4 linked regions of the Drosophila melanogaster genome follow. The protein of the gene in region 2 interacts with the protein of the main gene of each other region in a pairwise test. Each region holds a gene or a part of one and is shown on either strand. Other genes may lie near its edges. The genes, in order: nmdyn-D7, Cpr73D, row and CG15617.

Evidence for each region.
Region 1: the proteins of Cpr73D (region 2) and nmdyn-D7 interact in a two-hybrid assay, tested with the Drosophila melanogaster proteins (one large-scale study listed by BioGRID).
Region 3: the proteins of Cpr73D (region 2) and row interact in a two-hybrid assay, tested with the Drosophila melanogaster proteins (one large-scale study listed by BioGRID).
Region 4: the proteins of Cpr73D (region 2) and CG15617 interact in a two-hybrid assay, tested with the Drosophila melanogaster proteins (one large-scale study listed by BioGRID).

Annotation. Positions count from the first base shown.
Region 1 is NT_033777.3:9,678,267-9,682,622, reverse strand, and holds nmdyn-D7 (nmdyn-D7), read right to left. Parts: upstream 2,685-4,356; 5' UTR 2,543-2,684; coding exon 2,414-2,542; intron 2,350-2,413; coding exon 2,183-2,349; intron 2,125-2,182; coding exon 1,957-2,124; intron 1,907-1,956; coding exon 1,207-1,906; 3' UTR 1,121-1,206; downstream 1-1,120. Other genes in the region: CG9444 (uncharacterized protein), read left to right, coding at 1-19, 82-287, 348-653, 712-1,101; p23, read right to left, coding at 3,387-3,580, 3,647-3,903, 3,975-4,061.
Region 2 is NT_037436.4:16,938,213-16,944,953, reverse strand, and holds Cpr73D (cuticular protein 73D), read left to right. Parts: upstream 1-2,004; 5' UTR 2,005-2,230; coding exon 2,231-2,358; intron 2,359-3,215; coding exon 3,216-3,353; intron 3,354-4,136; coding exon 4,137-4,318; intron 4,319-4,370; coding exon 4,371-5,716; 3' UTR 5,717-5,854; downstream 5,855-6,741. Other genes in the region: Obp73a (Odorant-binding protein 73a), read right to left, coding at 17-291, 351-531; CG13022 (uncharacterized protein), read left to right, coding at 6,012-6,608.
Region 3 is NT_033778.4:15,207,282-15,216,039, reverse strand, and holds the start of row (relative of woc), read left to right. Parts: upstream 1-2,405; 5' UTR 2,406-2,550; coding exon 2,551-3,433; intron 3,434-3,484; coding exon 3,485-4,314; intron 4,315-4,372; coding exon 4,373-4,463; coding exon of another isoform or gene 4,464-4,468; exon of another isoform or gene 4,469-4,795; intron 4,796-4,971; coding exon 4,972-5,795; intron 5,796-5,860; coding exon 5,861-6,228; intron 6,229-6,253; coding exon of another isoform or gene 6,254-8,047; intron 8,048-8,240; coding exon 8,241-8,758. Other genes in the region: CG8093 (uncharacterized protein), read left to right, coding at 440-532, 605-1,708; Ir51b (ionotropic receptor 51b), read right to left, coding at 6,254-8,047.
Region 4 is NT_033778.4:16,744,495-16,748,736, forward strand, and holds CG15617 (uncharacterized protein), read right to left. Parts: upstream 2,086-4,242; 5' UTR 1,990-2,085; coding exon 1,655-1,989; intron 1,596-1,654; coding exon 1,262-1,595; 3' UTR 729-1,261; downstream 1-728. Other genes in the region: Sfp53D (seminal fluid protein 53D), read right to left, coding at 112-591; Acp53C14a (accessory gland protein 53C14a), read right to left, coding at 3,636-3,959, 4,012-4,053.

The sequences.
Region 1 (4,356 bases), on a different chromosome or scaffold from region 2:
GCCTTTATGATGGCCTGGTGTAAGTAACTATCAGTTTTCATAGCTTATTTCTATTTAATTTACGCATGCTTGTGGTATTAGTTATCTTTCTGGTTGGAAAATGGTTCTACAAGTCCGAAAAGCTGTCCGATGACAACATACTCTTCAAGTTCTGCGGCTGCATAAAGACCGCTCTCGTGGAGAAGTGGCGACGTCGCAAGTCGACAAAGCGCTCCAACTACTGGCTACACAATGCAGTTGTAGCCTACGACATGGGTTTCGTCAATGATGTGTCCAGAGTTTTGAGGGTCAGTTATACTTGTGTTATAATGAAGATTCTTTCAACTTCATAATTTCGTTTCTTTTAGATATCCAAGCTGTTTATCCCACTGCCCTTCTACTTTGCTCTGCTGGCGCAACAGGATTCCAGCTGGACATTCCAGGCCACCCAGATGAATACCACATTAATGGGCGTGACCATCCAGCCGGATCAGGCCAAGGCCGTGGGACCCATCTTTCTGTTCATGCTCATCCCTCTATGGCAGTATATAACAGTGCCCTTGCTGCGCCGCTACTTCAACTGGGAGCTCCAGCCGCTCCATAGTGTGACTGTGGGTGGGATCTTCTCCGCCGGCGCCTTTTTCTGTGCAGGAGCCTTGCAGGAACGAATAAAGGTAAGCAGGAATAATAAGATACCTCACCTGATCGTTTATTAACCCGAAATATTCGAAGAATTCCCCGCCCCAAACAGTGAATATAGCTTGGCAACTGCCCCAGTTCCTGCTGCTCATGATGGGCGAATTACTGCTTTCCATTCCGGGTCTCCAGTTCGCCTTCACCCAAGCACCGACCTCTATGAAGTCGGTGGTCACGGCAGCCTGGTTTCTAAATAATGCTTTCGGCAATCTGATCGTGGTTCTGGTCACCGAGCTGGGTATGCTTAGCTCACAGATGGCCGAGTACTTCTTCTATGCGGTGGTAATGCTAGTTTGCATCATCCTCTATGCCCTTTTGGCCTTCGATTACACTCTGCAGGAGCGCAAGGCCGGAATGTATGTGAGGATGGACAGTGAAGCGGAGGACCGGGATGTGCCCAGCACCAGCCGCAGCGGGAGCATATAGGAGAAGTTTCTACGGTCTAGTATTTTCATTGCACTTGTAATTTATTGATAAACGCACACAGGCAAACATGCATTTAACTGAAAACAAATAAAAACTAAACTAAGATCAGTCGATTATCTTGAACATATACTGCAGCTCCAGGTTGGAGTCATCTGGCAGATCAGTGCAGTGGACGGCGTTCTGCACCTTGGACTTGCCGAACTTGGCGCGCAGCGTGTGAGGCCGCAACAGTTTGGCGATCTCCGGATCCATGGGTCCACAGAAGTTGCGGAACTCGCGATCAGTTTTCTTTTCGGGATCGGCGCAAGCAATCTCCATGCACATGCATACTCCACTGGCCAACTGAGCAACCATGGGTATATACTCGGGCACCACTCCGCGGTAGACTTCGTAGAACTCCTCGCAGTTGATTCGGGCCATTAGAATCATGCGCATGGCTGTCAACCGAAAGCCATTCGACAGGATTTCGGAAATGATGTCTCCCAGGAGACCATCCTTGATGCTGTGCGGCTTAATGATGGCAAGTGTTGTATTCTTGAATACACATTCTTTAATTATGCTGTGCCTCGCCTCAGATATGAACTTTAGGTCCATTTCCACGTCGTTGTCGTTATCAGAGTAGTAAAATCCATAACGAATCTCCTCACTTTCAAACAGCTCTTCCAAACTGGGCGACAGTTTCACACTGGGTGTTTCCGCCTCTGTGCTCTTGTACTGGGCGCAGGCCTTGATGGTCTCCACTACGTTGTCGCCGATTAGCTCCAGACTAATGGCCGGACCAGCCAGCAGCTCGTTCATAAGGACTCTGGAATTTAGAGGATAAGATGTGTTCCTTGGCATGCCATCTTTACTCACGAAGAGGAGACATCCGTCGTGTCCTTGCCGGACAGAAACTGAGTTACCATTTTGGGAGAGAACTGAACCATCATGCCCTGGTTTATGTTAATCTTGTTGTCGATCAGAGTCTTTAGGAACTTGCCCAGGTGCTTCGTCCACATATTGTTCTTGAGCAAAACGAATCCCCTGAAAGAGATGGGAATTACAGATTAGCGAGTGGATAGCTGTCGATGAAGGAACATACTTCTTGCGATATTTGGCTAGGTTTGTCCGCGTAGTGTCGTCAGCATAATCCACAATGTCAAACTGCCGGCCAAAGACATTGATCTTGGAGCCCACAAAGAAGTCGCGCTGGGTCAGCTCCGGGATCTTGGTGCGTCGCAGAAATGTGCGCTTGTTGCGCTGGTCGAACTGAGGGAAAACATGGCCTTGGTTAAATGTGTTTCTTTGAAGAACTTGTGCTACCAATCCTCACCACTTCCACGGCCTTGTCGGATACATAGTAGGTGATCAGAAAGGTGCGTATGATTCCAGCCTCTGCATGGAACCACTCGGCCACGAAGGCCAGACGCCGCTCGCTAGCCGGAATCGCAGCGGGTTTCATGGTATCGTTTTGAGGGGAATCTTATACCTTGCTTTTCCGTTCTATCGCTTGACAGCAAGTCCTTTATTTCGAGTGATAACTGTTTGTTTGCTTTGCATTTCAATTGTGCTTCTTCTTTCCCGCGTTGTCACAGCAACAGTGTTGCCAACATAACAAAATTCATTTAAGTGGGCGCAAAATTTAAAGAAAAAAATACCTATGTTAATTTTAAACCCAAATTCTAGGGGATTACCCATAAACAATTTTTAACCATTACCTATAATTTCTTTTTAAAATCGCTATCTATTCAAAGATAAAGCCTTCTTTGCGACATCTTTAAGAAGCTGGACTGCGCATTCCGAATTTAACAGTTTAGAGATTTCTAGAACATTTATAGAATGTTGTAAACTTATAAAATATTGAAAATAAAAAGCCGAATATAAGTTTTTCATTTTTTTTATTGTTAATTTCCTTTATTTACAGGAAACAAAAATAATAAACTGCAAACTGATTTTTGCAATAAATTGGTTGTAGCTTTCCTCTGGTTGTTAAATTCTAGCGTAAAACTTATGGTTTCCCTTGTCGGCGCCAAATCATCTTGTTCCTTGTGTTGCTTTTTGTTAACATCTCTCCTCTGAATACGCATAATATTCAGGTATATTAAATGTGGTTTTCTTCGATTGGAATAGTGTTTCATGTACGCATGCGTTTGTGGATGTTTTATGAGTGATTGAGTGTTTCTTCTTTTTCTTTTCTGGTGTGTATGTGAGGAGTGAGTGTTGTGATCGTGTGCTGACTTATGGTATAAGAGCCACGCCTAACGCTACGACTACGCCAAATTGCGAGACACCATCTGAGCGACCGTCTAGGCAGCTGGCTTCTTCTCCTTATCACCCTCGCCGCCCTCCTCGTCATCCTCGTCGTTCTGGGACAGACTTGGGATGTTGTCATCCGAGTCCTCCTCCTCGTCATCGACGTTGAAATCGTCGAACTTGTTGTTCCAATCGCCACCAGGGCTGTTAAGGAAATTTCCAAACATGCTGTTGTCTTTTTGGTCACCTGCAAAGTGCGTTTGTATGAGTGGGTTTGCTGGATGAGATCTTGGGGATGAGGATGTCAACTTACCCTCCTCGTCGTCGGACTCATCGCGCCACTTGGCAAAGTTGGCTTTTAGGAAATGCAACTTGGTCTTGTCCGTGGTCAGCGAGGACCAGTAGGGACCGGCCGCCTTCTTGGGTATTGTGAATTCCAGGCAGCGGCCAATGTTCTTGCTGGTCACCTTCTCGGGATCCACCTCGTGGAGGAAGTTCAGTGTGACCTCGTACTTCTTCGACGGATCCAGCACGTTTACGCCCTTGAAGGTGAAGGTTTTTTCCGTAACTCTGTTTTGGGATAAATATATGGAATTAGGATGTGCAAGGAGCATGGACATACTACATATGGGGGCATATACTTGTGTTCGATGTCCTTGCATTCGACATCGATGATGACGTAGATCAAGTCATTGCGCTGGGCCCAGGAAACTGGAGGCGGAATCAAGCTGCAATGGAGGATCAAGTTGGATAAACATAAATAAGAGCTTCATGTCGTTGTGCGAGATCCGTTGCCATGGCAACTCGCGTCGGACTTTCTGGAAGCGGGTGCACGAACTATGTAAATAGCTTCCCAGCTAGCTAGATTTGCATAAACCATAAGCCCAGGCAAAAGTCCATGCCGAAAATGCACGGCATTACCGCCAGCCGAAAACATAACCTCAAACACTGGACCCTCCGATTAGTTCCACAAATATCGCAATGCAGATGCGCACAGGACACGCCCACCGTGGACACAAACGC
Region 2 (6,741 bases):
ACTTGACTTCACTTACCCCCGCAATGCGTTTGTCTTCCAGAGGCACCAGAGTGGGATGATATATACCCGAACTGGCCACATCCAAACGTCGGATATTCCTCATCAATCTGGCCACGTGGCGCTGTGGTTCGGGTTCATCGTAGACTATGTACTCGTACTGGCTGATGTTGGGGGAATGATCAAGGGAAGGTGCCTCGGGCACAGAAGGCCAAATGAAGTCGATGGAGTCATCGTTCGGATCGATGGGTGGCTGATTTTGTGACACCTGCTCCTTGAGTATCTCATAGGCCTCTAAATGGGGACCAAAACCGTATAGTATTTAATATGGCTTAACTAATTTGAAGGCCCACCATTAACCAACTTGTTGCGGACCTCATCCTGGCACTCCCTTATGACCGACTCGACTTTCCTGGCCGTTCTGGGTGGATTCAAGCACTTGGCCTTTTTCGTCTCGAAGCGAATTAGATATTCCACAGCGTCGATCGATGTGATAACCATGCACGAGATGCATAAAAGTTGTGTAATCCTCATGGTTGCGATTAATTGGAGTCTCCACGCCGATCCGAACGCCTGGGCCGCTGTCAAATGAATGTCCCCCGAAGAAATGGACGCGATGAAATCGAAAGCATTTTCACTTTTCCAAGCCAACTTGGCAGGATGGCCCACACAGGCCACTTATGAATTTCCAGTTTAGCTATACTTTTTTTTTCTCATTTTAGTTTTGCTCTTTGGGTATGTGGTTCAATGGCAAACAGCAATACTCCAAGTGCAACTGCGACTGCCACAACTGGTTGCACATTTCCCATGCGTGCAGTCCGTTAGAAACTTGTCCTTAAAGCTCGACCACATGCCTATGAACATGGTCATTGGCAGCGGCCATATATCATTGCTATACCATATCTCCATGGCTCTCCGATCGCGATCGCATTGGGTTTCGTTCCATTGTCTCTGCGGTTGTGCGATTACAAAGCGCTTATGCTCGGAAAGCACTCGCTCCGATTGAGCGCACAATTAACCAATTGGTGAACTCTTCCGCCTTCTGACCAATTTGCATATGGCCAAAAAACAACGGCTATAAAGATTATCAAAGGCGGTAGTCTATGTGGATGTAAATATGGGCTAGCCAGAACTATAAACTATAACCAGAATCAAAGGCAACCAAGCGGGGCGGTCTAATCAGAGGGCCTGACATATCCCCAGCACATCCCCATCTAGAACCCAGAACAATGGCCAATAACTGTACTTGGAAGTGGCCAGTAGCGTCGCCACGCTAATTATGGCTCATTATAATGGCCAAGATTCAAGAGCCAAGATCCTAGGCGGAAATTGTCATAAAGTTCTGTGGTCTCCTCCAGCCGACGGGTAATTGCCTTTAATTGCATACCTGGCCAAAAATTGCTGCTAAGACACTGACCTAGACTCGCTCTGGATCGAACTTGTAATAAGCTCCGGCTAACGGAAAACTCAAAATGGAAAATTGATTCCCCAGCGATGAAGTTCAATGTTCAGAGTTTTGCGATTTGTAAGCTAAAGAGAGCGGGGCGGGGGGATGGTGCATTGTCAACAGGAAGAGAGCTCCAGGTTGCAACTTCGGGGAACAAGAACAACGTGAGCTAATTGACAGACAGCTACACAGGCACGATTTTCCATTTTCCGCTGGCCATTTCCCGCGGGTTTTAAGCCCCTTCCCCCACCCTCCTAAAGTGGCGAACAAGGAGCCATAAAATAGGAGAAACACAGCAGCAGCTGCAACAACACTTGCGTGTCCATCATTAGAACGAATTCTCTCACCTGAGCCCCGCGCCCACTTTCCGCCTTTTCTTGTAACGCAATTTGCACACAAATGCTGCTGTTTCATCTTCGTGGCTTTGGCTCTTTTTGGTGGGTGGTCAGGTGAGACAAGCAGCACCACTAGCTCCACTAGCACCACCATATGACGCCGCACGAACCGCTCGCTGAGCCGCCTGAGAATCGTATTTAAATACGAAGGTCTAACGCTGGATCGCATCAGTCGTCGCCGTCGCGTTGTTCTAGCCGCTAGCTCCTCTCGAAGATCGCAAACCAAGTCGGAGTTTAAGACGGGTTCCAAGATCGGATTGGCAGACGATCGAATCGAATCGGATTTGTTGGGGGAATATAAGTTTATGTGGTGACTGTGCACCTGGAACAGGATGCCCGTTTGATACTTGTTTCATCTCTCGATTGGATTAAAACGAATGCGATTTGAATGATGTGGCATCTGCATCGGCACGCGAATTCCCTTTTGCTTCTCTGCGCAGTTTTAGGATACTTTTCGGATCCTGCGAGAGCCGAAATCGAGTACAATACCATCAGCGAGGATGGATCTTTTCAGTTTCGGTACATAGATGTGTGACAAACTATAGTGAACATTTTTAAAGGATATTAAGCACTGAAAAAAAAATTGGCATTATGGATTAAATGGATATGCATTTAATTGCAAATGCAACACCCTGTGACTCAAGAAATTTGATGAATAGTTTTTGTTACAATTGCAAAATTTTGAATTTAGTAAAATTTTCAATTTACCTAAAAATGCTTTAAAAGGCAGGATATTTTGACAGAAATTAGTAATTTCCTTCGTAATACGATTATCATAATACCTACATCGACTAAGATTTTTAATAGGATTTTAAAACTTCACAATAAAATTAATTCAGATAACATTGAAATTAATATTTTTCAATTTTCAACTCATTGCATTAGTCATCACAATAAAAAAACTTAACCAAATAACATAATTTACATTAAATAGAATAGAACTTTCATTGTCGTCCAATTTCCTTTTAAAAAAAGGATTAAAAGTAGTTAGTCGCTGAAAATAAGAAATAACCTTCCCCAATTGCGTACAAACTTAGCTGTTTGGTAGAATAATAAACCTTTTGAAAAGAGAACAACTCAATTACAGTTTTTTAGCAGCCATGGGTCATAAATCTAACAAATCATCTAATCGGTCAATGATGTCTGCTACCTTACCATCACCATTACACCCGAGAAAATTTGAGATTTTTAGCACCTCTTTAACGCCTCAACGTTTTGCAACCACAACAATAACACGCTTCCGACCATCTTTCCCTCTCCATTTCGCACGCATGGGGCAACGCAATTACTTCTGTTTCGATGGATCCCACCTGGCATGGATAATGGATATGCTGCTGCTGGTACTGCTACTGCTACTGCTTCCAATCGGCCAAAAGACATGCAAATGATGACATTGGCGGCTACTATCACAGCGCCTCGGGCACTCCGGACAACACGGTGCGAGGTCGCTACGGTTCGCGGAGTCCGGCGAGCGGGCAGATCGAGGAGACGGTCTACACAGCCGGACCACGTGGGTGAGTAATCGAAGACGGTAGCCAAGACTAGTGGGTAAAGTGCGCTGGTGCACTGCAAGAAAATAGTATCATTTTAGAGTGCATATGTGTGGAGAAAAATGCATTTAAAATTGATGATGTCAAAATATGCGTAAAAGAAAAACATAATTTTTAAAATATATGTATTTCAAATGTTTTTAAAAATAATTAGGCAACGATAAGTTCTGTGGGTATACATGACTCGAAGGTAACTTCCTTGAGGAAGGTCGGCGGTTTTTTCCTGAGTGTATTGGCCGCTGAGGAAGTGGCAGCACAAAGTGAGTTATCTCCCCTCGATGTCAGAGTTGAGCTCATATATCAGCGGTTGGCGGCAGGCGGCGGCCACTGAAGCGAAACCCAAACAAACGGAGGGGGATCCATGGAGTTGGAGCCGTTCTAACACATTGGACTGCTTTTTCTGGCGTTGCCTAAACGTTTTTCCATTACCGCTTCGGCGCTACTGTTGTTTTTTGCAATCTCCGGTAAATCGGGGGAAACAAAAAGCTGTTAACAAATTGACTGGCCTGAGAGATTCGAGCCAAAAAAAAAAGAGGAATGGATTGTAGATGGCAGATGCTCAACGATAGCGATGATTCTGAATGGGATCGTTCCCCGAGATGTGTAGTAATCGAAGTAATGGCGTGCCGGGCTAAGATCGAATCTATATTCAAAATTGCAGTGCAAGTCCGCTTCCGCTGAAAGGGTTTACCCAATCCCCACTCATTGTGTCGGTAGCTAATTAATCTCCCTCTATTTCCCACATAGATTTCGCGTGAACGGACCGAAAATCCATCGGAAAATGGACCTGGCTCAGTATCCGGTACTGCCGCGGGGAAGTCCGGACGATCCGCTGGCCGATCCCTTCGACGATCCATCCTACAGCTTTAGTTTTCGCACTCCGGATCAGTCGCGCAGCGAGGAGAATGATTCCGGGAATAGGATAAGAGGCGAGTTTAGCGAGTATGGTACTTAAGAGTATATTAACTGATTCTATCCCAGGTCTGTACTCCTATTTGGACGACGTGGGCGAGCGGCACAGTGTTCGTTATGCAGCTGGAGCCGGAACCGGATTCGAGATCTCCAACGCTGTGCCGGACAGCCCATCTGTTGTGGCGTACTCCAGTCCTCTGTACACGTCCCATCCCAAAGCACGCGGCAAGATGTCTGTGCAAAGGGGGCCGGCTGGAAGCTATAAGCTGATCGCCTCAGGTTCGGATCACCGACGGGCAGAAAGTCGAGCACCCGATGGCCTGGTGCGAGGAACCTACTCCTTCCTGGACGACAAGGGCGTGCAGCGGACAGTGGAGTATATAGCTGGAGCAGGAATTGGCTACCGGGTGGTGCAAAATCGGATTGGTCCTGGAACCCATAACAATCCCTCTGTGGCTGATTTTCGTTTGACAGATCCAGATTTCCGACTGGCTAATGATTTTGGCAGGGGTGCTGGTGGTGGCTTAGGTCCGAAGGGAGGTGGTGGTGGATCAGGTGGGGGAAGTGTTTCGGTAGGAGCTTCGGGGCCAAGTGGTGGTGCAGGTGGAGCGGGAAGGGGCCGTACTCCAAGCAGACCCGGAGGCAAAGATTACCTAAAGCCGGCTGATGGAGCAAGAGATAGGAATCGTGGAGATGGTGATGCTGGGGCAGCTGATGAAAATCTGGGACACCATGCTGATGACCAAGGGGATGACATTGGGCTTGGCAGCAGCTCCTCTGGTTCCACCAACTTTAATGGCAAAGAAGACAGAAGAGGGTTCCCTGCGGGTAGTCCGCAACGGGGCAGTACTAGATACGATGCCGGAGGTGACAGCTCTCAGAGAGGTGGTTCAGGTAGCTCCACGAGAAACAATGTTAGTGGGTCCCGAAACAGAAACCGATTCGGCGGCGTTGGTGGAGTAAGTGTCTCCTCTGAGCGGGGAGCAGGAAGGGGAGGTGCTGCCGGTGGTGGAAGCAGTCGTCGAGGAGGTGGAGCTGGAGCCTCCAGGGAAGGCGACTCCGGCCTGGGCTACCTGCCGCCCACAGGTGGATCGGGCACCAGTGCCATGAGCGGACCCGGGGACAATTACCACCTCAACGATGACGATGTGGGCAGTTCACTGCCTCCTCTGGTCACCGCCAACCACCGAATTCTAGAGATCGACAGGGATCGGGAGTGGGTGCAGCGACACCGCGACTCCACCGTCATCAAGAACGTGGGTAAATGGTACGTGGGCCTGCCGCCTGGTCAAAGTGTGCGTGCCCATGTCCAGAACATCGACATAATACCCTTGGGCGGAAGGATCGGACTTTCGCCGTCGGAGGCACTGCGTCAGGATGAGATCGCCGAGCTGAATGCCTCAAGGGAGCACTAAGCACCCATTGGATCTGTAGATCTGTAGTTTGTAGTGCGTAGCTCTAAGTGATCAGTGTTGAGTAACCGAAACTGGGTTGACTCCACATGGAAACTAAAACAGTATTTAAAGCGGAATACATTTTTTGCCTGTATCTGTATCTCAAACTGTATCTGTATCTCTAGCGAATAGTTATTTGATATCCGTGGATCCGGGTATAAGCAGGTTAATCTGCACATTGCGGTTTCCTTGAATCCACATATAACCCCATGACTTAGCATGCTCGGAGTTTAGTTGTTTCTGAGACTTGAACATGATGTTGGTGCTTTTCATTGCTTCGCTGATAGTTTCCTGTGCTCAAGGAGCGCAAGTGTATATGCAGTTCAATGGACAAGGATACTCCTACAACACGGATGGCGATAGATTGGATAGGAGTGTCGTTAAGCCTAGTTTTGGGGCATCTTCTCTGGATTCCTTTGGTCCGCTGAACTTTGTGCATCAATCTCTGAGGACAAGACAGAATCCACTTTCCCGGATTTCCTACAATACACAGGATAACCTAGCAGTGGCAACATCTTCGCTGAGTGCGGGCTACCAATTAGCATCGACCAACCACCTGAAGCACCGGCAAAGCCAGCAAAACTTTGATTTCAGCACCGACCAGATGTCGCATGCCCAGCACACCGATGAGGCGGGAAATGTTTTGGGCAAGTACTCCTACTACGATGAGGCTGGCTACCATGAGCTGAGCTACAAGGCGGGCGCCGGCATCGGATTCGTGGTCATGGGTGGCAATTTGGCCAAGGCCACCACCGCCGCTGAACCGCACTCGGAAATCGAAATCGGAAACGGAATCCAAACAAATGCCTTGACTAGCCTGCAAGAGTTGCATAAATATCGTGGCTACACGTAAATAAAATATATTAGCCAAAACTATTGCTCGTTCTACTTGGGTGTTTTGCGTTATTTACTGGAAGTCTTTGGAGATCTGACAGTGTCACCTGTCGTGTTTGAGACCTACGTGATCGGGGATCTGAACTGTAAAC
Region 3 (8,758 bases), on a different chromosome or scaffold from region 2:
GAACTATGTGTAATATTAAATCAATTAATTCTTTTTAACATATTCATTTAATATACTACATTTATTGAGTTTTGTCCTTACCGGCTTAGCATGTCAGTTTACAGACTGATGTGGGGTCTTTTAATGTCCAGTTTGCCGTACGCCCAAAGCAGGAAATACTAATTGCTGATTAACTCTTAGCAATTATACCTAATCAGCAGTTATCAAGATTATAGGAGACCTTATCGCTGATGACCACTAGCCATTCGTTAAATCAACTGGGATCGAAATTCCCACACGATCTATCAGTCTTGGCGAATCAAACCATTTTGCAGGCAAAAATAAACAGTCATAAATTAGGCAGCCAAATCTAGGAATCCTTATCAAGTTCCTGGGGGGCATATAAAAGGCACGGGCGGCCAAGTCAGCGGTCAAAGCACCTGCACCTGTGGAATACAAAATGTTGGTGGTTCAGCTAATTGCGGTTTTTTTAAGTCTGGGCTTGGCTAATGCCCTGCCTGCGGATACGGGGCGCGCCAGTTCGGTGACAACTGTAAGTTTTAGGATGCCATGTTCTTTGGCACCCAAAAGTCCTTACTAACCACTATATTGCTCTACTTTCCAGGTCACCATTGTTAGGGGACACGGTTACGAAATCGAGGAGCACGAGGTGCAGACCTCGGATGGTTACATCCTCACAATGCACCGCATACCGTACTCGAAGAACACTGGGTACGATGGGCCACGCCCTGTTGTCTTCCTTATGCACGGTCTGTTGTGTTCCTCCTCGGATTGGGTTCTTGCTGGACCTCACAGTGGGCTGGCATACCTGCTGTCCGAAGCGGGCTACGATGTGTGGATGGGTAATGCCAGAGGCAACACCTACTCCAAAAGACACGCCAGCAAGTCGCCGCTGCTGCAGCCCTTCTGGAATTTTGAGTGGCACGATATCGGAATCTATGATCTGCCCGCTATGATGGATTACGTCCTTTACTGGACAAATGTGACTCAACTTACGTATGTGGGTCACTCTCAAGGAACCACATCCTTTTTTGTGCTCAACTCTATGATTCCGCGCTTCAAGAGTCGCATTCGATCTGCTCATTTGCTCGCTCCTGTGGCCTGGATGGAGCATATGGAGAGTCCTTTGGCCACGGTCGGTGGACCACTGCTTGGTCAGCCCAATGCCTTCGTCGAGCTCTTCGGCAGCGCCGAATTTTTGCCAAATACACAGCTAATGAACCTGTTCGGGGCTCTCCTCTGCAGCGATGAGGCCATTTCACAGTTCATGTGCACCAACACCCTATTCCTGCTGGGCGGCTGGAACTCGCCATATATCAACGAGACCCTGCTCCCAGATATTATGGCCACCACTCCGGCGGGATGCTCAGTAAATCAGATCTTCCACTACCTGCAGGAGTACAATTCCGGATACTTCCGGCAATTCGACTACGGATCTACGCGCAACAAGAAGGAGTACAGCAGCAAGACCCCGCCGGAGTACGATGTGGAGGGCATCGATGTGCCCACCTATCTCTATTACTCTGACAACGACTACTTTGCTAGTCTGATTGACGTGGATCGCCTTAGGTATACCATGAACCCGAGCGCCCTGAAAAGCGCATATCGCATGCCGGAAGAAAAGTGGAATCATATCGACTTTCTGTGGGGACTGAATATTAAAGAAATTCTTTATGATCGGGTAATTAACGACATAAATAATGCATAAATGTGCGCTGGAAATAAAAAAAAGCGACATACGTTTTTGTGACATTGTGATAAAAAAAGTTCCATTGGTCACCACTTCAACGGGGGCTTTTGGTAGCTAATGAACCGATAATATACGAGTGGTCATAAATTCAAATTGATTTGGTGACACTTCACGGTGACTGAACAACGCAAAACGAACTAGCCTGCTAACATTTTTTGCCTTATAAGTGCACCTGCTAAATACAATGGATTATATTAAGTGTAATATAATAAAATATAAGCTGTACTAGATATTTTTATTTTATTTGCTGATTGTGTACTGTTGAGAAATATTTTGCACTCTTAGTTTGAATTGCGCGCCAACTTTCAGGGATGAAGCATCTTGTAAAATCATCGATAGACTTTCAGCGTTTTTTGTGGTAGTCGATAGTCCGCAACATACTGATCATAGTAAAAAATATCTGTAATGTATATTTAGGTGGGAAAATATATTCATGGCATTTATTTATACGTTAAATCAATTCTTGTTATGATATTCCTTAATTGTAAAAAAATTTTATTCTTGTTCTTATTAGCAGAATATAAAATTGACCAGTTTACGTTAACACTTTTTTTTAAATACAAAAATTTGATTTATATTTGTTTATATTTTAACGAACCGATGTGTGGTGCACCACTGTGCGTGTGTCACGACAATACCCAAGCCGATATTATCGATGTTTTCATCGATGTTATTTACTCGAGCAGGTACATCCACGCAAGGAAAGCTAATTCGAGCGAAAAAAAATTTACTTAGCTCTTAATATTTTTAAAAACAACGCCCTCGCTGGGCCAGTGGTCGGTTAACTAGTTAGCTGTAAGATGACGCGCGTAACGAGAAGTGAAATCTCCCTGGACATGGAGTTCTGGGTGGAGGAGCTGTCGCCGGCACAATTGGCGTACTACGAGAAGATTACTAACGAGCACAACGCGGTGAAGGGTGCACTAAAGAACGCGGTTAGCGCCAACGAGGGCAAGGAGCTGTTTAACGGCCAGGTGTTCCAGGCCTACTCCTTTAAGGGCAAAGTGCTGCAGGAGCTCAAGGAGGCTACGCTGCCCAAAAAACCACCCAAGCCGACGGACTCTCCCTCAACACCCGCCGCCCAAAGCGGTGGCACAGGGCGGGGTCGTGGCCGCCCACCACGACAACCATCCAACATCGCCTACCTGGAGTCCTCCGATGAGGGAGACGACGATATGCCGCTGGCCAAGCGACTGGCGCTGTCTGCAGGCAAAAAAGCAGTGGCCGTGGCCAATGCATCTTCCTCGTTCACCCCGAAATCCAGTAAGAAGGCTGCATCCGCTGCTAGTGGAGGATCTTCTTCACCGGTACCTAAGAGCAGTGGAAAACTATTTAAGGAATCCAAACCGGACATCGAATCGCCGCCGAAGAACTACCGCCCCGCCGAGGTTAATTCGGTGGGCGGTCTGGTGGTGGGCAGCACCGACGAAAGCAAGGATAGCAAAGACGGCAAGGATGGCAAGGATAACAAGATGCAAGGAAAGACATATCCATCTCTGGTGGTGCTAGCAAAGCCTTTTCTCAAGATCAAAGACATGGCTGCCACCCGCAGCAAGCTGGACTCGAAGGTTAAGCTGGTGCTCATGCTTACGCCCAATAAATTCTGCGAGTGGCTGCTCCAGGAGGGATTGCTACGCGCTCAACAGCATTGCATAAACCATCGCAACAACGAGCTCAAATTGGGTAAGAGATATATGATCAACTGAATTCGTTTATTAATGTATTTATATTTAGGAATTTATTCGGATGTGACCAAGTTTCCCTACACTGGTGGCTATGTGTGGATCAGCGAATGTTGCCCCTACCGCTTCGTCTCCGTGTTCAACAATTCCATTTTCGAAGGAGCTCAGCACCCACCCACATTCCTGTTGAAGTTAATTTACCACTGGGCTTGCCAGACCAGTATTCAAAATGTGGTGCAGTGGGTTAAGGTGGACAGTGTTTATATCAAAGGAATCTACACCTGGCTTAGAGCCATTTGCACTTTGGCAGTGCATCAAAAATGCAAGAAGCTGGGCGGTCCCGGCAAGTTTGTGGAGGTGGGTGTTATTTCCCTAGGAACCACATCCCAAGATGGCTCCCAGCGACAAGTGAAAGTTGAGGTTCTGGGCGTCTATGATTATGCGGAGAAGTCCATCCGACTGCGGGCTGTAGAGCCAATCACCGATGGTGATCGTAACTACAAAAAGCGATTCCAGGCCATTCTTGAGCCACTGTCGCGCTGGGTGCACAAGGACAGCACCATTTGTATAGACTTGACTGTCGACAAGATCACCCTCTTCAGCATGGGATTCAAAAATATTGTCCAAGCAGCTGCCACTGACAACACAGCCAAGCACAACAACTCAGCGGTAATGGAATATTTGCGACGGATTGTGCCGCGCATGTTCCAGAACACCCTATCGTTGCTATCTCGCCAGATGATTCAACAATTCCTCGACGAGTTGGTATGGCGAGAGTCCTTTGGTACATATGCCTTGCAGGCATTCAACAATATCATAATACACATTGCCGAGCAGACAAGAGTAACCACCAATGAGACAATCACTCAGCGTCTGTATCAGGTAAGCAGAATCGAAAAATTTTTATTAGCGATTAGCCTTTAATAGCTCTTTCGTTTAGGTGGCAACCAATCCGTTCAAGGACTGGAGTATTTTGCCGGCCAACTACAAGGAGACACCTGCCAATGCTGCTCCCAAGCGCCTCAAGAAACGTTAGTACTATCGTACTTTTGTAGCAAGTTTTTATTTAGGCCGTGAATAGAATAGTGCGTTATGATAATCTGTTAAGTGCCTGCGTTTCTCACTCCAAACTGAAATGTTTTCGTTTTGTTTGATTAGTTTTGGTTAATCGAACCCAACAGCTGAGCTCAGGTCCACTTATTGTGTTATGTGAATTGTGAATTTATATAATCTATATAGGTGAAATGTATCATTGATATATTCACATATGTACAATTTAAGCATTACTTCCTGACATTTCTCGTGTCTAATTATTTTAAAACAACCCCATTAGAGAAACCATAAATAAACTTGCAAGAAATTTAATAACTGTTTTTATTTGATTTCCTTTTTCATTTGGAGTGATAAAACGCAAGAAAGAATTTACTAATTAAATTGATTGGACCCATTCCACCAGATTCAACAAAAATGGACAAATATGTAATGTTTAAGTTTGTATGTTGAGATTACATCTTTTTAAGTTAACATCTTCAATTGCAGCTATCAACGATGCTGACTACGTTGTTTCTAACAAGATTCCCAAGAAGGAAAAGGATCGTGATATAGCATCATCTGGAGTCAAGCGCGGCCGTCCACCGAATGCATTAGGCACCCCACCACCTCAATTGCCAATTAAAAAGGGTCCAGGTCGGCCGCCGGGCAGTACCAACCAGACAAAAGGAGACAGAGCAACGACCTCGTCATCTAAATCACTGTCTAAATCTCTGATAGCTAAAGGCCTTGGTAAAAAACCGAAAGAAAAAGATGAAAAGATTCCAATGGTCATTAAGAAAGAAGAGGATGATCTAAGGGGCTTGGAGGAGCTGTACTATGGAATAAGTGATGGTACGGACGAGTACCACGAGATCTTTCCATATAGCACACCCCGTACGGTTCACAACGAACTGGCCAAGACCGTGGAGTGTCCAATCTGCCTGAACGGCGACTCCTTCGATTCCAATGAGAAACTCCAAACGCATTTAGTATCGCATATTTCGCCAGAGGGTAAGCAGCACCAGTTCCAGTGCCTTTTTTGCTTGGAGAAGCATCCCACCGAGTCGGTTTTGGCCAAACACAACCAGATCATGCATCCAACTGAGACAAAAACGGAGGGTTCACCCTCGTACTACTGCCTAATATGCCAGCAGCGTCACAATTCCCTGCATCTGTTGACGGCTCATTTGCAGAAGGTCCACAGCACCCTGGAACTACCATATTGGTGTCACTCCTGCGGCTATCGATCATCTTCGCACCGCGATTTGGTCAGGCATTTTTATGACGACCACAAGCATCAAAACTTTTTACAGTGCCCCTATTGCTTGGATGTAAGTAGCTGTCATGGTAAAGTAATCTTGTAAAGTTCTCTCTATTAAAAACTGATTCTTTTTAGATTTTCTACTTCTCAAAGCTTGGCGTCGTTAACCAGCTGCGCATAGAACATTACTTCATGCATTTGGACGAGCACATCAACAAGCGTGATCCCTCGCTGCGCTGCCAGAAATGCTCGCTATCCTTCCTCGAGAAGGGGGATCTAAAGCAGCACGCAGTGCAGCATCATGTGAGCATGACTAAGACCAATAGACCGGTGCGTCTCTTACTCAACAACTCGATGTTGATACCACCGCCAAAGATTCGCACCCATCACCGCGAGCAGCCGCCGTTCTCCACCTACAAGCGGCCAGTATTCTTTGCTTTTCTGGAGGGTAAGACCTGTGCCGAGTGCAACACCGATTTCGCCAGCGAGGAGACACATTACACGTAAGTTCAAAAATATTTTATTTACCTAAGCAATAAATCGCCATGGATAAAGGTGCCAGTATTCACAAGAGAAAACCAGAGCTGACAGTATCCAACCAATTCCCAAGACACACCAGCCCAGTCTCAAAGTATCCACATCGATACTTTGATAGCCCAGGACGTTATCTACAAACCTAACGTATCCAGCACGCATGGCATCGTTAAAGTCGGAAACTACCCAGTGATTCAGCAGTCCAGTATCCTGAATCTTCAATATGAAATGGTTAAGGGATGTCTCCAAGTGGCTGTCAACGCGCATTGGATAGCCAATATGTGGAGATCCCAAGCAAGCAGATGAAAAGCGAAAAATCGGCTTAAAGGCATATTGCTGTTGCATGGCAAAAAACTGCCAACGTTCTTCTGTAAAAGGGTACGCGAAGCTGCGATTAAAACTCAGCAAAGCGGACACCTGTTCACTGGCATTTACAGGCACCAAAAGCCGAGATACTTTTTCCACTAATCGAGGTTCAACATGGCGCAGAAATGTGTTAATTTCATACTCCTTGACGAGCACCCTTTGCTGCTGGTGGACAAGCTGATCCATGCTATTTACTTGCTCGCCCACTACTATGGTTGTGAAGAAGCTGTCCAACTCAATGTTGTACCAACTTGTGGACATGAATCCCAGGACTGAAAGTTGTAGGAAAATAATCAAATGGCGCCATGTTGGTCTGTAAATTGTTATAGGGGGGCTGATAAAAAGTATCTTGCTTATCGCATCTAGAAAATTCAATCCCAAGCGTTGCGGCCAAGAACTTTTATTGAGTTTCGGGCTTATGCAATAGAGAATTCCAGTGATGTAGAAAACTGCGAATAACAGAATATACCAGCTGTACAATTGGAATGGTCGCAATAGGTACATGTGCCTTGGAATCTCATTTCTCATGGGCACAATCAAGCAGTTTGGATATATTAGTAAGGGGTAACTCTTGGTTGCTGTTGGGGGTGTGAAAACGTACGGGTGCAAAGAGATTTCCAATTGACCGTCTATAATCAACTGCACAATGTGGTTCATATTCACACTAGTTGTTGGGTCTAGATTCTCATCTGGATTGGTCAAACGCAGCGAGGCATTATAGTGATCCAAATATTCCACGAATGTGCGATATGCGTATCCCAGCACCTTTCTGCTCTTCGTTAATGGATCGTGCACATGAAACACTCTCGGAATATCATTTTCCGCCGGAGTGGATACTACATATCCATGGAAATTCCTTGCTGCATGTGGAAATAGCGGTTCCGTATGAATATCGAGTTTGAAAAAACGCATCGCCGGATACGGAGTGTAGGAATAAAGCTGATCCCTTTGCAGGACAAGAACGTTGAGGAATTGATATTGCCATAAGGCGTTGAATATTGATTTAATAGCACCTTGCGAGCCACTTCTTTGATTACGCAGAATGATGATCAATCGAATGCGACGGAGTTTTCGTAGATTTCTATCCAGAGTAAGCCACATGATATCATGTTTATCATGACAAAAGAACAAAGCTATGCCATTGTATCTAGTGATTTTAAAATGACCAAGGGGTCTTATATGTTCAGGTTGGAGAAATAAATTCATTGTCAAGCTAGTAACTCCCATTGTTTGATGGAGCCAAATAATCAAGTCGTTGAGGTCGCCTCCTTGCGTATTATGTCCGACGAATATTGGTGTATTTATCCACGGCTCCCGTGTAGAGATGAGACTTAGAACGGATTTCAACAATGTCACATTGTAAGCAGCGTTTGTTAGCGCCAGTAATAAAATAACGACCAATAAGGTTAACACTTTGCACATGGTGGTTGATTCAATTGTGACAAGCCAGAACCGCGGGTTGAGGTTTATAAGTCAGCAGCTAATTGATTTAATAGTGGCTGATTGATCTCTTGGGGAAAACTCATTAGAATGTGTGAGGCAATAATTTGTAATAAAAGGTTTTGGCGCTCTACGCACTCATTTAATCACTTTTTTATATTAAATCTTTTCCCAGTGGTTGGCTACACTGCGTTAAGTGCAATTATCAGACATGTTGCGAGCGAGCGCAATTCCGTCATGGCGTGGAATGTAATGGAAACTTTGTGGACGCCATGGAAGTGAATATGCCACAGGAGATGCACTGCATCTGCGGCTTTGCCACCGGCAACGGCAACAAGATGGCTCAGCACTTGGCAAATTGTGGACTTAGCACCTGCTACCCAAGTTTGGAGGCTGCCAGTGAGAATGCCGTCAAGCGTAATATGCTGGACATGTTGGGCCTGGTTCGACGCGATGGAGAAACCTCTGGTGAAGGTGCAGATATTAGCGAGACTGCTGATGATGTCGCGGATCAGAGCTCCGACATGTTGCCGCCGCAGGAGGACCATCATTTGCAGCAACACCATCAACAGGTGGGACATCAGCAACAGATGCAGGGACAGCCGAATGAACCGCAAGCGGAACTTCAACAGGAATACTTGTCGGCGCCAGTTGAGCATGAGCCCGTGCAGAATATGCCAGTACATCAGAGCA
Region 4 (4,242 bases), on a different chromosome or scaffold from region 2:
TACACAAAAAAAAATTCATTTTCGTTTATTATTGTTCTTATTTCAAGTTAAAAAAAGGAAGGAAGTTACAATCTTAAAGCAGAGTAGAAACTGTATTTGGATTTACACACTTTACACTGCATCTACTGGTGGCTTGGGATCATTGGGAGCATCCTCCGAAGGACTCTCCGGCGGCACTTCATTCGGCTGTTCCATGCTTTTTATCTCACCCGATTTGTTTTCATCCAAACCATCTAACGTTTGGGCTTGATTTTCATTTTCATTACTATTTACCGGGTCCTCCCAATAAGATGTTACGTATTTTTCAGCCAACTCGTTATTTTCAACGGATAGGGAATCATCATCCTTGTCGCAAATCTTTATTCTTCGGCATCCTCCATTGTTTCTCACTATTGAGCCTTCGATGCATCCACATCCTTTCTCGCAGTAATGAATGCAGTCGACTGGGTTATCCTTGCATCCTTTGTTACAATATGAATAACAATCTGGGAAAGTGTTCTCGCCACATTTCCTGTGAGCGATTTTATGCTCATAGGCAACAATTTCCAGGATAATCTGGCTGAAGAGAGCCAGCAAAATAATAACTTTCATTTCAAGATTCAAAACGGAACATAAATGATAAAATCTGGGTGATACGAATTACTTAATCGAATAATAAGTGGAACTAACTGATTACAAGCCCATTTACTTAACAATATGCCTCAATTTGAGTACTTTAAATATCATATATCAGAAAATATTTTTTATTCGTATTTTTTTGTAACTATACATAGTGTTTGAAAATTTAAGTGATTTGATAAAAAGTTATTTACAAAAATAATTAAGCTAAATTTAGCTTTTTGGAATTTTAGATTGATTTTATATTTTTTTCTATAACACAGAGGAGGTAGTATATATCCTTTAAGGATAATAATCGAGTTCGTATCACCATATTTATGATTAGCATTTTGAGAACTCTTTTCAAAATTTCTAACCCAAAGCACTGCAACTGTTTTCCACAGATGCCTGCCAGCTATGGTTTTAACTTATCCATCAATAAAGTTATCCGCTTATTTCTGGGCAGGATTAAGACACGGTTCTCAGGAGAACCCTTTTCGAAATAGTTTCCCAGCATTTGTGTGGCACTTCAACTGTATATTCAGCTGTCTGCCTTCTTTTGAGTGTATAGTCCTTGAAGGTCCTGATGCACTGCAGCGGATTCAGCGCTGCCTGCAACTTCTTGTGACTTGGTCAGCATCATCTTTCCAATTAGATTGGTCTCCTAATCCCTTGGCGGTGGTCCACGTGGCCTGAGCACGGTCTCGAGAAGATTCGGACCTGGTTGATTCTTTGGCCTGGGAGTGGGCGTCAAGGAGCGAGTGTGTGGAGCCAGCTCATCCTTTTTGTGAACAGCTGAGGTGGCAGCACGTCTCGCCCGAATCTTCTCCTCCATTTTGCTGGGCACCATGAAGCAATTGGACTCCTTGTAGACAGGCTTGCGGCGATCGTTCCAGGGGAATGTCCATTGAATGGGCGTGAAGTCACGACGCCAGGGTTTCCTGGGCTTAAACCAGCAATCGCAGGTCCAATCCTCCTCACCGGGAGCATCGTCATCACTAAAGAACCAGATGAGTTAAGAAATCATGATGCTAAGAATGTTTAAGGTTAAACTCACCCCCTAACGTAGACACGAACGTATCGCGAATTCTTTCGGAACATTTGCAGGGCCTCATTGAAGGTCATCTCCAGGGCCGGCACATCATTGATCTGGGTGATCTCGTCGCCCACTCGCATGCCTCCTCTCTTCGCCAGGCCAGTGGGTGACACATTCACAATGGTCAGCGGCTCGAACTGGTCAATGCCGCCAGTCACCTCCATGCCCCACATCGCGTCGTAAAAGCTCATTATCCTACAATCCGTCTCCAGGGTGTACGTCATCTGCAGCTCGTACGCGACATTGTCGAACGCATCCGAGTCGTACTTGGGCACCCTAATCTTTGAGTCGAACATTGTGGCGAACTCAACAGTAAGTGTGGCCCCCTAGAAACTGGTAAGATGAAACTGAATCCAAGCCGTTTGAAACGGACAGAAGGTACTTTATCGTCTGGCGCTGCTCGAGTTGATCACTTGCTTTTATAGCCGATAATTTGGCAAGTAAAGCGGATACGGATACAGGGACAATGTCAAGGGGTTTACCAAATGAATGTGCCAAGTACAGGGAAAAGTGCCTAAAAAATAAACAAAGAAAAAATATAAATATTTAAGTAATAAGATCGTTGTTATCATTTTGTAAATTATGTTTATAATTTATAATATAAGAGAACATCACATTCTGACCAAATATATCAAGTTGAAATTGTTATTTGTTTTGTAGTAAAGAATCTCTGTTGCTCGCAAGTATTACCTACTGTGTATTACGGGAAAATCAATTCAATTGATTTGCATTTAATTGTTGTCTATTTTTAGTGGCAGTGATTTTGGCTGACGGAAACCAAAGCGACCGGCCAAACGACAAGGAAGATCCCATGGCCGCTTTTGGCCACTGAAAGTGCAGCCGACGCGAGAGCCCAGGGAGCAGCCAAGCAGCTCCAAGTCCAGTTCCTCCACACACCGCTGGGCAAGTGCTAAGCACTTGGTCGGAACTATTTGATTTCACTGACCTCAATTATGGCTGCAACCGAGTTGGTCCGAGGTTGGCAAGTAGGGAGAACCGCGAACCAGAGGCTTCTACCGGACTATTGAATTATTCATTTTGAAAATGGTAGAAAATGTTGTTGGAAGAGAAACCCGCCAACAAAAGCCCATAAAATGCTATTGCCGGGGGAGCAGCGGCCAAATGGCAAAAGGCAAACAGTAGCGACAACTTGCCTAATTACAGCAGATATTCTGGTATGGATGTGCGTCCTTCAAAAGTTAGTATACTCCATATTCTCCTCATCCTCTTACTCCGAAAGCACTTAGCAGCTTGTCGGAGCTTATGCACTACTGGCATACTGCGTGGGATTTGCATCACTGAGCTTGGCCAGCTTTGGTTGTCATGGAATTTCATAGCCACAATGAAAAGGATTTCGACCATGGAATTGAGGTAATTACTTAGCAGGTGCTGCTGGCAAGTGGAGGATTACCTGGCCAAGTGGAGCTCTTGTTTTCGTAGCTATCTTGAACCTAGTCACGTTGCCAGTGCAACATTTCAGACATATAATTGTTTCTGGTCTTTATCTAAAAATGAAGCAGTCACGATTCCATGTCGACTGTGCTATATAAATCGGCTAACTGAAATGCACCTTTAACTCAATAGCAATGAAGCTTTTTCTCCGTCTGCGTAAGTACTAGACATTTAAACAATTATACATTTTTTTTGTTCTACATAATTTATATTTTAGTTATTTTTACGCTAATACTGATCCTGGCCGACGACCAGAAGATAAATCGAATTTTGTATATAAAAAAACGTGTAACCACCAGTTGATATGTAGAGTTAATAAACATTACTTTTAAATAACAATGGTTGTAATTTCAAATGGAAGTTCTGTGATATGTTGAATTTGAATTTTAAAAGAATGAGAATAAAACAATTAAGATGGTTCTGATCCGTTTGCTTGGCCAGGCAAACTTTCGGTATATTCTGAATATTTATTCAAACTAGGTAGGTTGTCTTACTCATCAAAGCACCTCAAGCTATCAAACTTGGCTATAATCGGTCTAATCAGTCCGACTCCGGTGGTAAAGGTTTGTACGAGACATTCCGGTCGATCGTATATCGCCTTCTTGCCAAACTGATGGGCCACCCTAATAAATCTGAGAATGCTACCAGTTAGTTTGATTTTCGGCTGAAAATCAACGCAATCGGATAGGAGGCTTATGGCCGTTATAGAGTTCTCGATCATTAGGGCACCGGCATCAGTCACCACTTCCAAACATCGCAGATAGTGATCGAGTTCCGAACTTATGGCGGCTTGAACTTGCGACTTTTGGCATAACTAAATGGCGAAATGGTTAAGAAATAATCCCGTTAAAGGTCGACGTACTTACAGCCAAAAAGCTTAGTAACAAGGCGATCTTAATCAAATGCATTGGGGTTCTTATTCCAGCAACTTTTGATCCAACTTTGTGGGCCATGTGGAAATATTGCCCTATATATATAGGCCTCAGGATAATCGCTTTAGTAATGCTGTCGAGCATCACTGATACCCAATGTACCGCCTTTCAATTGTTATACCGAAAATATGATTGTAATCCGAATCTAATCTTACTAATTTCCAG